Linked DNA regions of Mus musculus. The main gene of each other region encodes a partner of the protein of the gene in region 2 in a complex. Links are inferred from orthologs where the notes say so. Each region holds a gene or a part of one and is shown on either strand. Other genes may lie near its edges.

Region 1 (4,728 bases), on a different chromosome or scaffold from region 2:
TCCCCAGGCAATAAGCAGGGTCCCATAAAAGCTTAACAGTACACATGAACTAACAATCATTTCATTCACAAAAGAGATGAGAGGGAAAGGCAGAAATGATGTAACTAGTCCACAAGGATGAGAACGTTAGGCTTAGCACTGCAGCCTGTCAAGCAGCCACTGACAACCAAAGGCTCACAAATGCTGGGTACAAGAGGAAGCAGAGAGGCACCTCTGCAATCATGTTTACTAACTAGCCTCCATACCCAGATAGTGTCCAATAGCTTCAGACAACAGGCTGAAGAACCCACCAGACCATTCTCAGCCATGGCCATTTTAAACCAGATGATTCTTTGATGTATGCTGCAGGATATTTAGCAACCTCCCTGGCCTTTACCCTAAAGTTTCCAGTAACATCCTAAAACTATCAAAATGTCACCAAACACTGCCAAATTTCCTTGAGGAGGGGTGAAAAAAACTACCAAATCACTCAAAACCACTGCTCTACCTACAGTCCTACTTGAAGGACCAGAAGCTGTTTCACTGAGAAAGAAAATGAACTACAATGGTACTTTAAAACCGCTGGAGTGGAGGGAAAAAAAAATCCTCCCTGGGGGTTTTGGATCCAGGACCAGATACAGTCACATCTCACCTTATTCTACAAACCCTCTAGGACAAGAGCCTGACTTCTGCCATAGAGATAATGAAACTGAGACAGAAGGGAAATTACTTGCCCAAGGTCACAAAGCTACAATTCAGAGCTGCCTTTCAAATCCAAGCCCTCTCTACAATCCCCTGCCCCTCCTACAACCCGGGCCCAAGTTTTGGAGTACACCTGCTGTGTGTTTAGTGGTACACCTGTTGAGGTGGTAAGACCAACATAGTTGTCTCTATCATTTAAGAATGCTGAGGTTCGGGCTGGTGAGATGGCTCAGTGGGTTAGAGCACCCGACTGCTCTTCCGAAGGTCCAGAGTTCAAATCCCAGCAACCACATGGTGGTTCACGACCATCTATAATGAGATCTGATGCCCTCTTCTAGTGTGTCTGATGACAGCTACAGTGTACTATATAATAAATAAATAAATCTTTTAAAAAAAAAAAAAAAAAAAAAAAAGAATGCTGAGGTTGAGAGAGTGTATGACCAGCAGAAGGTTAAAGCAGGTTAGACAGTGCCTGTGTGGATGCACAGCAGCTTTCTATTTCCACACTCTGCTCTTCCACAAACAATTCCCAGCACAGGCCTGAGACCACCACCACCTAATGTCCCCCTAAACCTCTTCACTATTCTCTCCTAAGACTCACATGAGGGTCTATAGACTGAATGCAATGATTAGCACCTGATAGGGACTCAATTACTACTTCCATCCTTCTCCCTACCTGGGCCTGACATCTGCTAGGGTTTCACTCTCCTCTGCTAGCCTCCCTTCTCCCAATCCCGAGAGGTACACTCTCCATAGTAACAAGGCTTCTGACACTGCCATGAGTGTAGAAGCAATCTCTTCTATAAGCTAAGCCAATGCCTCTAAGCTGCCTAAGAAAGAAAGAAAGAGAGAGAGAGAAGAAAAAACAGCCAGGGACTTCAGCAAGGCCCAGCAACAACACCAAAGCAGAAGCTGACAGATCCCAGTCTCTTCATCAATATAATTAGGATTCTGGCCCAAATGCATCGTTCTGGAGCCTTGTCAACAGTACCTGCACATAAACCAGTCAGTACCCTGCACCATTCTAAAAACCAATCTTCCCTCTAGGGGCCTTCTCATGACCCAATTTAACCATCAGAATGGTGCAGGAAATAAGTTTGAAATCTCCACATTTCAAAAACATATTCTTGTTCAGTCTAAAAGGGTTGTTTTCAAGATATATTAGAGGAGCACTATAGGACTCCTCCCAAAAGCGGTACACCTGACTTCCCAGGCTGAGTCAACTGATTAAACAGCCAGAACCTGATTTATATACAGCAAGAGCCTCCAACCCTACCCTGGCAAGTGCGGGGGAGGGGTACACACTTCCTGTCAAGCTATTTGAATAAAGAAAAAAAAAATCTTCCTGTGAGAATAAATCAGTTTCCTGTGGTGCTCAAACTGCTAAGAGACCAAGCCAGCTGTGACAATCACCTCTATTTTTACTCTTCTGTTCTAAATGCTTGTTTTCTGTGGCCACCAGCAGTCATTTTCAGTCGTGGGGAGCCACTTTTACATTTGACACTGTATGGTGTTTTTGAGCTCTGAATCACTAGCTTTTTCCACGCTTTCTGCACAAGGCGGTTAATGGCAGAGTCGCATTACTTGTTGAATGTACTTGGTCCATAAAGGCGCAAAACCCAACGTGCTGAGGAAAGTGGCGACAGGTGAGAAAAGGTAGCAGGCCATATCACACCTGAGGGCTGGACCTTAAAGCACACCTCCCCCACCTCCGCCCTCTAGTCAGTCTTCCTCCAACCATCCACCCACCTATTTTCACGCCGGGCTACAATCGGGCCCAAGAAAGCCAGTTAGACAAGCGCAGTAGGGCAGTGGCCCTGGCTGCTCAATGAATCCAAGGTGGTTCACCTCGGTCCCTCCTGAGGGCAGCACCTGGGAATGACCCCGCTTACTATAAGGAGGGATAAAGGGATACCAAGGCCGATGCACGGACACCCAGAAGGATGCGGAGCGCAGCAGAGCAGAGGGAGAGGAGCTCCAGGGCTGCGCTGCTGAGAAAGGCGTAAGGCCAACCACAGACCGGGAGAACCTGGGACTGACAGGAGCCGGGAGGGGCTGGGGTTGGGCGGAGGACCGGGAGACTGGGGCTGGGGTGATCAGGGTGCGAAGGCCGAGCCGGGCCGCCGCGCCGGGAAGGATATTGCCGCAGGAGCCCGTCTACCTCGCAGGGGTCGGGGCCTGGCTCGCCCGCCGCCGCCGCTGCCTCTTCGTGCTCGTCTACGAATTTGTTCTCGTCAAATTCGTCGATATCCACGCGGCGGAAGCGTGAGGACAGTGTGTTCCGGGCCATGGCGGGAGCGCGGCGGCCACTCAGCCGCCTAGGCTTCGCTCTTTCCCGGCTCCCCTCCGCACCGGCTCCGCTTGGGGGCGGGAAGCGGCCGCCAGGCACCGCCTCCCCTCCTCCGCGCGCAGCCGCCGTCGCCCGCCCACTTCCGGGATGCGCCGGAACCGGAAGCTCTTGTGGGCGGAACTGCGCCGTGGGATCGTGGAATGCTGATGAAGTGGTGTCAGGCGTTGCAGCCGTAACTCTGTCCTCTCCGAAGCCGGGCTGCTGGTATAGCCAGCGCTTCTGTCCGCTCCGGAGGAAGAAATCTTAGAGCTAAGGGATGGCAGGGAGTGACGCGCAGTGCCGGAGTCTCTTAAGCACTGACCCACAAGAGGACCCACTTTGTTAAAAGTAAACGGCTTTAAAGGCGTTGATGTGTAACCCAGGGGCTGGCAGGACGCTTGATAACATCCTTTCTTGAGGATGTAACGACTCCTGCGGGCGTTCCGAAAATTAAAGAGGATTCTGTGGCCACCTGTACTCCTGACTGAAGAGGCATATTTTAGGAGGCGAAAGCTGCAGAATCCCCAGGATTCTTTCTATTTCAGACGTAGGCTAAAATGAATCTTTTCTTGTAACTATATGAAAACTATTTAATAAAAAATATTAAAAAAAAAGAAAACTATTACATTTTAACCTAGTAGAACTCGAGCAAAAAAAATTAGGTGAGACATGGTTTTGCTCCTGCTACACATAGCGAGTAATGTGGCACATGCCTTATTCCAGCCCTTAGGAAGCAGTGGCAGGGGGTTCTTGTGAGTTCTAGATAGTTTTGACTACATAGTTCTAGATCAGCCAAGACTACAGAGTGAAACCCTGTCGGGAAATTTAAAAAAGAAAAAAAGTGCTATTCTTGGAGACCTGGGTTCAGTTCCCAGCATCCACATAGCAGCTCACAGTGCTCTGCGACTCCACCTCCAGGGAGATCCAGTCACCTCTGCCGGCACAGCACATACATGGTACATGTAAAATTTAAAAATGTAAGGGCTGTCTTAATTACATCAGGGATGGCAAAGTACAGTGCCTGTAAGTTTTTTGTCTTCAAAGATGGGGAATGTAATTGGGAATTCAAAAATATTGTGAATCCTGGGTTTAATCCTAGCACTACAAAAAATGTCCAGAAATATGATGTATATTTGTAACTCTAGTAGAATCCTGGTCATCTTTAGACTTCCATTTAAAACTAATCCACACTCGGTTCATTTCTCCTTATCCCATTTACAAAAGGCTTATTCATTCTATCCAACCAGTATCCCCATCCTGGGCCTGAAAAGCATTAAACCCTCAGAGACCTTCAAGACTGGCTCTGGAAACAGGCACACAAACACATGGCTTAACTCAGCTTGGTACTTAAGAGCACTTAGGATACAAGGGTACGCTGCTACACTTGGGATGGGAGGTGACTAAAAAATGTTCATTACAGTACCTTTTTTGTTTTTTTGGTTTTTGGTTTTTTGTTTTGTTTTGTTTTGTTTTGTTTTCTCGAGACAGGGTTTCTCTGTATAGCCCTGGCTGTCCTGGAACTCTGTAGACCAGGCTGGCCTCGAACTCCGCCTGCCTCTGCCTCGCGAGTGCTAGGATTAAAGGCGTGCGCCACCACGCCCAGCTTTCATTACAGTACCTTGAGTACCTCTTCTATCAGCATCAAGTCATGAACAATTGAGAAACTGCTGGAAAAATGGGCAGCTGCTGAATGGAGCTTGGCAAAGAAAGGGCTCCAA
Region 2 (4,810 bases):
TGAGCCACACCCCCAGCCCCTCACTGGGGGATTCTAGGCAGAGGCTCTACCACTGAGCCACACCCCCAGCCCTTGGGGATACTTCCTGACCATTGCTAAATGACTTCCACACTCCTGCTATCTGTATCAAGGAATGTTGTGTCGAGGAAAATGCCTGGTTGCATCACAGTGATGTATCAACAACTGGGAGAGGCCCTCTGTGTTCCTAATGGAACAAGTGGTCAGAAAAGCCAGACGCTTCTACCTCAGGACACCCTCGGCTGGGGAGGACCTACGCAGCTCCCTTCCTAAGCCTGCCAGCCAGAGCCTCAGGCCCCTTTGCTGCCAAGGACATTCTTCCAGTGCCTGGGTCCCAGAGTTCCTTCCAAGAGTGCTGGGTTAAAACTCTCCAGCAGGGTGCGCTGCTGAACATCGGAGACAGAGCGGGCTAAGGCTGTGGGATCAGGAGTTTGAAGCCAGCTTGGGCTTCATAGGGAGAACCTGTGATTGATAGAAATGGATGGACGGATGGATGGATGGATGGACGGACGGACGGACAGACAGACAGACAGACAGATTAGATAGGTAGGTAGGCAGGCAGATAGACAGGTAAGGGGCTGGTGAGATGGCTCACCGGGTAAAAGCGCTTGCAGCCAAGCCTGATGACCTGAGTTTGATCCCCAGGACCCAGGAGCGAAGGAACCAATTAAGGCTTCTAACTTGTCCTCTACCCTACCCCCCCCCACACACACACACATAAATAAATATCCTTCGCCCTGGCCCCTTGGCTTTTCTTGGCTGTGTTTCCTTGAATCACACACTCAGTCTGGCTGGATTTGAGACTTAAGCCAAGCCGGGAGTTGCCTGCAGCGAGAACCTTGGCTCCACAGGCAATCCAGGAAGTCCCCGCCTAGCTTGGGAGCTCAGCTAAGTACAGCCAGCAGCAGTTTTTTTTTTTCTTTTTTATGGTGCTAAGCCTTACTCAACTTCCTGTTGTGGGTAGGAGCCTGGGTGGTGTGAGCAACCCTCCAAACCCTCAGTTCCTCTTCTTCCCCCTCCTCTAAACTGTCCTTGAAGACTTACTGAATGAGGGAAAGTCAAATCCAGCAACAGATTAAATAAATTCTAAAATATCGTAAAACACCAGTTTAAAGAACCAAAACAAAAACTTCTCCAAAACACAGAAGACTCGGTGCTAGCAGGGCTGTGGGGAGACCCTCATCTGTTCCATGCCTTTGAAGGGCCGCGTGCTAACTTCTAATTCCAACAGCTTGTATGAGAGCAGACAGAATGTGGGGCTGGAGAGAAGGCTCTTTGCAGAGAACTCCAGTAGCCCTCAACCACCAAATAAATACTCTAGCTCCAGGGGACAGCATTTTCCACCACCCCAGGGCTCAAGTGTGTGGGCGCGCGCGCACCCAACCCATAAAAATACATCTTTAAAAAGAGAACAACACTGATGACCTTAGTAACTTGAAAAAGCAAACTTTTAAAGCCCTCTTTCTTAGGGTTGCCTTACTACAGAAAACCCTTTTTATATCAGTGGGTGACAGATTGGAAAAACCCACATACCACTGAGGAGGCTGGATCACTGGTAGAGCACTTGCCTAGTAAGTTCCAAGGCCCTGGGACCAAGACAGAACAAAATACTTTAATTCTAGTTGGGGTTATTTGTTATTTGAAAGATCCCGAAGTGTGCTCACCTTTAATCTCAGCACTGAGGAGACAGAGCTCTATGAGTTCAAGGCTAGCCTGGGGGGAGGGAAGGAGGAGGGAGGGAGGGGGAAAGAGAGAGAGAGAGAGAGAGAGAGAGAGAGAGAGAGAGAACCCGAGTCCAGGGGAAAGGAGGAGACCCTGCCTAAAAGAACAAAACAACCCAGAGTGAAAAAGAATCACCAGCGTACACCTTTAATCCCAGCACTCGGGAGGCAGAGGCAGGAGGATTTCTGAGTTCGAGGCCAGCCTGGTCTACAGAGTGAGTTCCAGGACAGCCAGAGCTATACAGAGAAACCCTGTCTCGAAAAACCAAAATAAATAAATAAATTTTCATTCACACAGACCTTTGCCTTGCACGCTTCATTGTGTGTCTTTGAGTGCCCATGGGTGTCGGGGTATTCGAACTCAGACCCTCAGGATTCCCCCTCCCCAACTCCACCCCTGTCAGTGCTTTTATTCAATGCTCCATCTCCCAGCCCCGCACATTCTCTTACAGTAGAAGCCCACGTGGTAAATCTATTCCTTTTTTATTGTCCACGTGAAGAAGTTGTTCCCTCCAAGTCGCCCCGCAGGGCTGCAGCTTCGGACCCCACCCCACCCTCCCACCTCATAAGGCCAGGTTCAAAGGAGTGCAGAAATAAGGTCTGCAGCAGCAGACAAGCAGGCACTCTGCCAAGTGTACTAGCCACATTTGGCAGCTAAGCCTCCAAATCTGGAAGGTCCCCATTTTCCAGGCAAGGCAAGTTGAGCTCTAGAGAGGCGAGGTGGCTCGACTGCGTCAGCAGCCACACCGCCCCAGGCTGGAGCTGCCTCGCGGGAACAAGCTTCATGGCCAGCACCTGGGCTGGCTCCCAGTTCAGGATTCCAGCCTATTTGCGGGCCCCACCGGGACCTGCCCTGTCCGGGGTGGCCTGGCTGGGTGCCCCTCGAGCCGCCAGGGTCCGCTCGCCCAAGCTGGGTGGAACCAGGAACCTGGACCCCTGCCGGGTATGGTCACTGGGGGATGAGGCGGGGCAGGGGTGCTAGCTCATTTCCCGGTCGCAACAACCCGGAAGGCTGCGGACCGAGGGGGAAGTGACTGAGCGTGGGGCCCTGCGCCCAAAGTAACGGGGCGACACGGGTCTCGGGGATCGAAAGCGGGGCCAGGAAAGCGGAGAGGGGGCGCGAGGCTGGGGCTGTGCCGTCTCGATGGCGTCGAGTGCGCGGGGAATCTCTGCGATTCTTCCCACCGCGCCCCGCATCCCCAGAACGCCGCCCCCCACTAGCTCCTTGCCAGCCCCACCCTCGCCGGGAGCCCCACCAGGCCCCCATGCACACGGCTCTCCACTCCTCTCTCATCCCCATCCCCCTCACCGTCGAACATCGCCTCGAGTCCCCTGACTTCTAGGTGGCCTCAGACACCACACACACCTCGCGACCACCCCGCGCCCCTCACCTCGGGTCTCCTCGGCCGCGGACTCTGGACAGTCGACGCGCCGAACCGGCTCTGAGACCCGCGCAGCGCCGCAGCCACTTCCTCGTGGGCGGGGGGCGGGGCCTTCGGGCACAGCCCCGCAGGGACCGGGGGCGGGACCCGGGCGGCTGTGGCCAGATCTCAGGGCCCGCCCACCCCTCGGGGTACTAAGCCGCCCGGACCTCAGTTAAGTCCAGCTCAGCCCAGAATTCGTTCGGAGATCGCACGCTGTTGCCCCTAACTACTTTCTGAATGGGGAAACTGAGGCTGGAAGAAGGGGGGGGGCGCTTAGAGGGCGGAAGCCCGAGATCGGGCAACCAAGAATTCAAAGGTTTTGAGGCCACACGCAGGCACCCCGCAACTTAATGACTCCTGCCCCGCCCCTCGCACTCTAGGTGCACCCCAGCCGTGGTTCCCCAGACTCTGTGTCCCAAAGATGGCAGAGTCGCTGGCGTCCAGGAAGAAGAGCACTGCCACTCCAGGTGACTTCTCGCTTCGGAAGTCCACACACTTCCCTCCAAGTTGCTGAGTAGCTTTGCAGTCAGGTGATGATGCTCCAGGGTCAAGGGTCTTCCAGGTTAGGTGCGTCTCAAGTTCCTTTTGCTGTGCCTCCCACCTTCTGAGAGCTCCTCTCTAGACTCCCAGCAATCTCCTGTATCACTAATTCTGGCTTAGAGGTGCCTGTGATAACCCACACCTGTCATCCCAGCACTGGGGAGATGGAGGAAGAGAGATGAGATTCGAGTTCACCCTTGGCTGTAGAGCTGGATGAAGGCCAGCCTGGGTTACATGAAACCCTGCCTCAAAAAAACCAAAGAAATGGGCCAGTAAGATGGCTCAGATGGCAAAGGTGCTTGCTGCCCAGCCTAAGGACCTGAATTGAACTCCCAGCACTGACTTCCACACACATGCCAGCCATAGTGAACTAGAGTGTGTAAACATACACACACACACACACACACACACACACACACACGCAGGGTAAGTAAATAAATTAATACTTTTTTTTTTTTTTTGAGCCAGGGTTTCTCTGTGTAGCCCTGATTGCCCTGGAATTAGCTCTGTAGGCCAGACTGCCCTTGAACTCAGAGATCCGCCTCTGTCTGTGTCTCCAAGTTCTGAGTTCTGGTATTAAAGCAGTGCATCATCATGCCTGGTGTAATAAAATACTCTAAGTTTGGAGCAGTTGCTGCAGTGAACACCCTGCCCATGTTCAGTGATTATGTATATGTGTGTGTGTGTATACACACACACACACACACATATACATATATAATGGTGTTGGGATTCAAACTCAGGGCCCTGCACACACAGCAGACGCTCAGTCACGGAGCTACATCCCCAGCCTTCACTTAAGTCTCCTTAAGTTTCTGGGGCTGGACTTGAAGTTACGTAGGCCTTGAGCTTGTGATTCTCCTGCCTCAGTTCCCCGTGCCACCAGACCCACCCAGCTCAGTAAGATTTAGCTCAGGTTTCCACGAGTCATCCTCCTGCCACAGACACAGAGGAGCCATGATCCTGCGCCCCCTGCTTTGCTGTTCCTGTAGGTTTGTATCTGTAGCCCTGTGGGTCAAGGGCATCCCTGGCTGGCAATCTGTCCGTGCTCGCTCAGCTCCATAAAAGCCCAGCAATGGCCCCAGGAGGCCTTGAGTGATCTGACTC
Region 3 (4,895 bases), on a different chromosome or scaffold from region 2:
CCTTGTAGAAACTCCTTAGGTGTGCAGCGATACCATATAAGGCAGTGACTGAGACCCAAGGAATAGCATGGAGATCACCTTTTTAAGCTTGCATGCTTTGTTTTCTATAATATTTACAAAATTAGGAAAAACTATAAGACCCAAGGAAGTAGGACAGAGATCACCTTTTTAAGGTCACGCATGCTTTGTTTTCTATAATATTTAATATTTACAAAATTAGGAAATCAAGAAGCAGCTGTGTGTGTTTGGCAAATTTATTTTTCAAGCCCATTTAAATCCAACCTGAGTGGATTCCTCCTGAAGCACACGCAGAAGTGATGGCTCTATCCTTTAAATTTACTGCACTCCACACGGCACTCTCCTAACTCTACATTTCAGGGCTATTTTTTTCATGACATTTTTACTTGTCACAAGCTCCCTTTAAAGCTGGACGTGGTGGCATATACCTTTAATCCCAGTGGAGGCAGGAGATCTCCTGAGTTTCAGACCAGGTTATAGACTGCGGTTCAGTCTCAAAAGTCACACTGTAAACTCTTGTGTCAAGGACAGGAAATAGGTACAATGTTGACTGTGGGGCATCAAAGGACTTTGCTAATAGTGAAACAGAAGAGATTAATGCTGTAGTCTGAAACTCACCTTCACTGCCTGGCTCTTTGTGTTAATAGGGGGGTTTTTCAGAGCAGCCTGGAGAGCAGCTGTCATGTTTCCTGTAACGAAGGTTAAGGGTGGAACAGAAAAGGATGGCCCCTGCTTTACAGGAATATTGGTTTTTGACTTGACTTTCTGCACAGTAACAAAAGTTACTATGGTCATTATGTTCGATATTAGAAACTGCATGGGTGTGTTTCCCACATGTCAACCAATGGTAAAAATACTGGAATTAAACAATAGATTTAAAAAAAAAAAGCAAAGACTGTTTTGACCTCAGTTCTATCAGTCAAATAGATTACACTTTCCAGTGAGATACACGCAATTGTCTAGATGGGTATTCAAGAAATCTTAAGACTATGTGTTAAGAATTATTAGGTCACCAAATGATGCAGTTTACCAACAAAGTATACCACTTGTCTGTGTGACTCTTGCTGGAAAACAACCCTAGACTTTATACTGAAACTACACTGTGTATTAACTGAAATGCTGGCTGATTATTCTGGCAATCAGAATGGAAGAATAGCTTAATATGAACAGGGCTCTGGATGATGTAGTAACCCGCACGACCTGTAGGTGGCAGCTTACTTTATTTCCTACAGGTTATTCAAACTGGGCTGGACCATCCATACCTACTCAGTCTCTGAAAGCACTGGTGAGTTAGCAAGCAGGGGAAACGGAAGGCCAATCAGACTGTCAGAACAGACAGTCATTTCCCTAAAAGGAGAAACAGAGTCACTGGTTCCTCCATCTGTAGTACCCGACCAATCTGAAGTCTCTCCTAGTTAGAACCAGAGACAATATCTTTATATTTTAAAATGGATTGACAAAAAGGTAGACTGAATTGATAATGAACACAGCAGTAGGAATCACCAGAAATTACCTAAAATACATTAGTTTAATAAAATATCATATATCCACCATAAAGACTAAAAAAAAAAAAAAAAAAAAAAAAAAAAAAAAACCCAAACAAACAAAGAATAAGCTCACCATTTCTGTGCAAAGGGTCTAATAAAAAATTATCTACAGTAGGTAATAAACTACTGTCAAGCCTGCATGGTCTTTTAAAGAAAAAAAAAACCCAAGTATTTTAACAAATAATCAAATTAGTAACAACTGTGAAAGTTATGGTAATGAAAGTTAAACCTATACTGCACATATATGTACGTTTGATGCTGTGGTTACCACTGTTTTTGCTCACTTTCTTCATTATAATCTAGTAGAAAATTGATGAGGGGAGAGCTGTATGAACAGACTTAATGAATACGATTTTTCTAAAGCTCCAGTTTGGATTTTTGTAACATTCTATTTTTCTAAGGGATCGATGCAAATGAATTTCGAGGTTATGAATATTCAGATATGCAAACCAAGGAACCAGGAACTGACAGCCATGTTTTAACTAGAAGGGAAACAATTTCAGAAAAACAATGTTGATTTATAGAACCGACTCATTCTCTGCTTTATTCACTGGGGTTCATCTTATATTATTCCCAGGGATTCTCTGCATGCATTCGCTATCCCTTTTTTAGTGGCCTTTTCTTAGCAGGTGAAAGGTTCCAAGCTTTAACTGGGAATTTTGGAGAAGAAAACTCCCTTCGGCTCGTTCATGAATTATAATGCCACCTTGCCAAAGCCCTTCTCTCTTAATAAACAATGCTGCCGATGAAATAGCCCCGGGGCTGAATGTACCGAGGGCCTCGATTTGCGAACCGCTCCATCTCTCCTGGCTAGGGATAAACTATCCCCGCTCCGCCAACCACACACACCGGACAGGAAAGCAAGACTCCAAGCGGGACGCCCGTGTCCCCACCGGGCAGAGACTGGCTCAGGTGCCCACTAGGACACCAGCGGTGCCCCGGGGAGGGCGCGGCCGCTTAGGACCGCGCACCTGAGGAATCGGGGCGCCGCCGGTAAGTTCGCCGGCGCGGCCGCGGGGTACAGGCGGCCTGCTGGCCCCGGGAGCTCCTGTCCTCCGTCCCCACCTAGAGCCGGGCACAGCCGGTCGCGTGGCCCCGCGTCCCCACAACCCCCGGCCGCCGCGAGCGTAAGGATATTGCCGTAGGCACGAGTCCACCTCGCCCTCGTCGGGCCCGGCCTGGCCATCGCCGCCGTCCTCCTCGTCCACGAACTTGTTCTCGTCATATTCGTCCACGTCCACCTTCCGGAAGCGGGCCGACGACACCGTGTTCTTCGACATCCCGGATCGCGACGCGACGCTGGCCTGCCCCTCCGCGGTGCCTCTCCTTTAGCGAGCCCAGCCCGGTCCGACTCACTTCCCTCTTCCGCTCTGGGGCGTCGCCGGCAGCCGCGGCTTGCAAGCTTCTGGGCCTGCGCGCTAGCGGGCTCGGCCTCCTCCTCTGCTTGCAGCCATCCTTCAGCCCCCGCTCCGCCCCCGCGTCCCCCGGGAGCGCGCGTCGGCAGGGGAGCGCGCGGGACGCACCGCGCACGCGCGGGCCCGCTGCAGGAAAGGGGCGGGGCTGGAGAAGGAGGCGGGGGCGGCGGGTCGACAGAAAGCTGGCAGAGGCGGCGCGGAGACGCGATTGGTCGCCGGGGAGCATCACGTGATGCCCGGGACGTTCCCATAGAAACGCTTTTCTGCGGTCCTGCCTTGCGGGGGGTCTTGGGCTGGAGGCTATGGGCACCTCGGGAGCGTGGCCTGGAGTGCTGCTGCCGCCGCCGCTGTCGGTGCCAGCCGCTGGTTGTTGGGGTCCGGTGTGAAGTGTGGGTGACCGGACTCGCGCGTGGGGTGCGATGGACTGGCTGCAGAACCTAGTCCCCTGCAGTCTGCAGGAGTATGAGGCAAAGTGATGCCCAGCTCGGAACTAGTGATCGGAGCCCTCCATTCGGACCGTGCGCCGCCGGGGGCTGCCTTCCCGAGCTGAGAGCCCCTTCCCCGGCTTGGACTCTTGGCACGCTGTCGGTGGGAGGTCCCCAAGGACGGAATCGAAAAGGTCACTTCTTACCTGTCAGTGCTGTGTGACAGCATCGCGACCGGACCTGCAGAATCTGAACTAGGTATTCTCTCCATCTGGAGGGAGGGAAAAGACGCTTGGGCCAGGTAGTGAAATTGGGGCAAACTTGTAGCATTTTCTAGAATCAGTCATCACATCTTAAAATAAGTAGTTATTTGGAGCAAGAATGCCAGAAGAGGGTGGGCGAGTTAGGCTCTTCAGTGCTGAGGGAAAATAGCGAGTGCAAGGATTAATAGAGACTGGACTTTCAAGGTTGTTATTTATTGTTTAAGGTTCCTGGAAGCACGTCAAATCAGCTTTTTGCTATATTCCATATTCCGGTTTGTGAGATCAGAGCTTCTGTTGAGGAGGCAGAGGCACAAAGATTAATCAAATAATAGCTGTGCTCTGTGTAATATACCGTAGTACAAGTATTTACAGAATAAAATTAATTCAGACATTTGGCTTTGCCCTGCTTCGATGCAGAACCACCTGGTTTCACGTATAGCAGAAGGCTGGATGTCATCCTGTTGAGTTTTCTCGTTTGCTCTGCCGTACTGGAAAAGAGCACTGGGCTTGGGATCAAAAAGCAGGCTGAGTCTCGACTTTTCTGCTCTCATAATCTGCATGATTGAGGCATGTTGCTTAAAAATTGGAACCTTGGATTTCTTAGTACTAAGATGGGGCTAATGTGCTTTTCACAAGGATGTTCCCAGGGCTCAATACGTGGAAATGCTTCGAAAAGACTCTAAAATTCTGCATATGTGTGCAATGTGTTATGGGTTATGTAGCACGAGCTTCATAAACTACCTAATGATAGGTTTTATTCTTGCTGGGGAAAGAGATCCCAAGATTCTGAAGGGCTGAATCTAATTTTTTCTTATGTATCTTTTTTCATATAAAATAAAATTAGGTATTCAGAAGGTAGTTAGTGCATGCTTGATGAGTTAGTGAAATATAAAATATATAAAAACATTGGGAATAGAGACTCAATCAAAAAGAGAAAGACGTCAGGATCAAACAGTTGTTGATCATAGGCACACACATGTGTATGTATGTGTTTATGTAGAGAGAGCGCTGTATGTGAAGTGTGTCCCTTTTCCTTGTGAAGAAGCAATGTGGCACTCCCTCTAGGTTTATCATTCAGTTGATAGAAGTGACATTTCCTTGATTAACACTCACATTGTCAGCTAGTAAAAACTCTCGTGTCTTAAGACAGCAAAGGAGACATGTCTCCCTGCCAGCAGTGCTTACTTTAAAAGCCTCATGCTGGAGTATAAGAACATTGTTACGGTG

What was found. Proteins that work in one complex are often made in the same cells at the same time.
Region 1: the proteins of Arpc1b (region 2) and Arpc5l are in contact, whole or in part, in a cryo-EM structure (PDB 6YW6), measured with the Homo sapiens proteins. The link is inferred for Mus musculus from reciprocal best matches to the Homo sapiens genes ARPC1B and ARPC5L. Residues at the interface, in NP_005711.1 of Homo sapiens: Arg118, Lys138, Arg142, Phe164, Ser201, Gly203, Trp204, His222, Asp223, Ser224, Thr225, Leu240, Ala241, Ser242, Glu243, Thr244, Leu245, Pro246, Phe281; in NP_112240.1 of Homo sapiens: Asn21, Lys22, Arg102, Gly139, Leu140, Gly141, Ile144, Arg145, Thr148, Arg150, Lys151.
Region 3: Arpc1b (region 2) and Arpc5 share a complex: the UniProt entries of both Homo sapiens proteins name them as parts of the arp2/3 complex. The link is inferred for Mus musculus from reciprocal best matches to the Homo sapiens genes ARPC1B and ARPC5.

The regions. Positions count from the first base shown.
Region 1 is NC_000068.7:39,006,439-39,011,166, reverse strand, and holds the start of Arpc5l (actin-related protein 2/3 complex subunit 5-like protein), read right to left. Parts: upstream 3,029-4,728; 5' UTR 2,972-3,028; coding exon 2,823-2,971; intron 2,817-2,822; exon of another isoform or gene 2,597-2,816; intron 1-2,596. UniProt on the Homo sapiens protein: May function as component of the Arp2/3 complex which is involved in regulation of actin polymerization and together with an activating nucleation-promoting factor (NPF) mediates the formation of branched actin networks.
Region 2 is NC_000071.6:145,112,662-145,117,471, reverse strand, and holds the start of Arpc1b (actin-related protein 2/3 complex subunit 1B), read right to left. Parts: upstream 3,217-4,810; 5' UTR 3,131-3,216; intron 1-3,130. UniProt on the Homo sapiens protein: Component of the Arp2/3 complex, a multiprotein complex that mediates actin polymerization upon stimulation by nucleation-promoting factor (NPF).
Region 3 is NC_000067.6:152,764,675-152,769,569, reverse strand, and holds the start of Arpc5 (actin-related protein 2/3 complex subunit 5), read right to left. Parts: upstream 3,029-4,895; 5' UTR 2,846-3,028; coding exon 2,703-2,845; intron 710-2,702; coding exon 637-709; intron 1-636. UniProt on the Homo sapiens protein: Component of the Arp2/3 complex, a multiprotein complex that mediates actin polymerization upon stimulation by nucleation-promoting factor (NPF).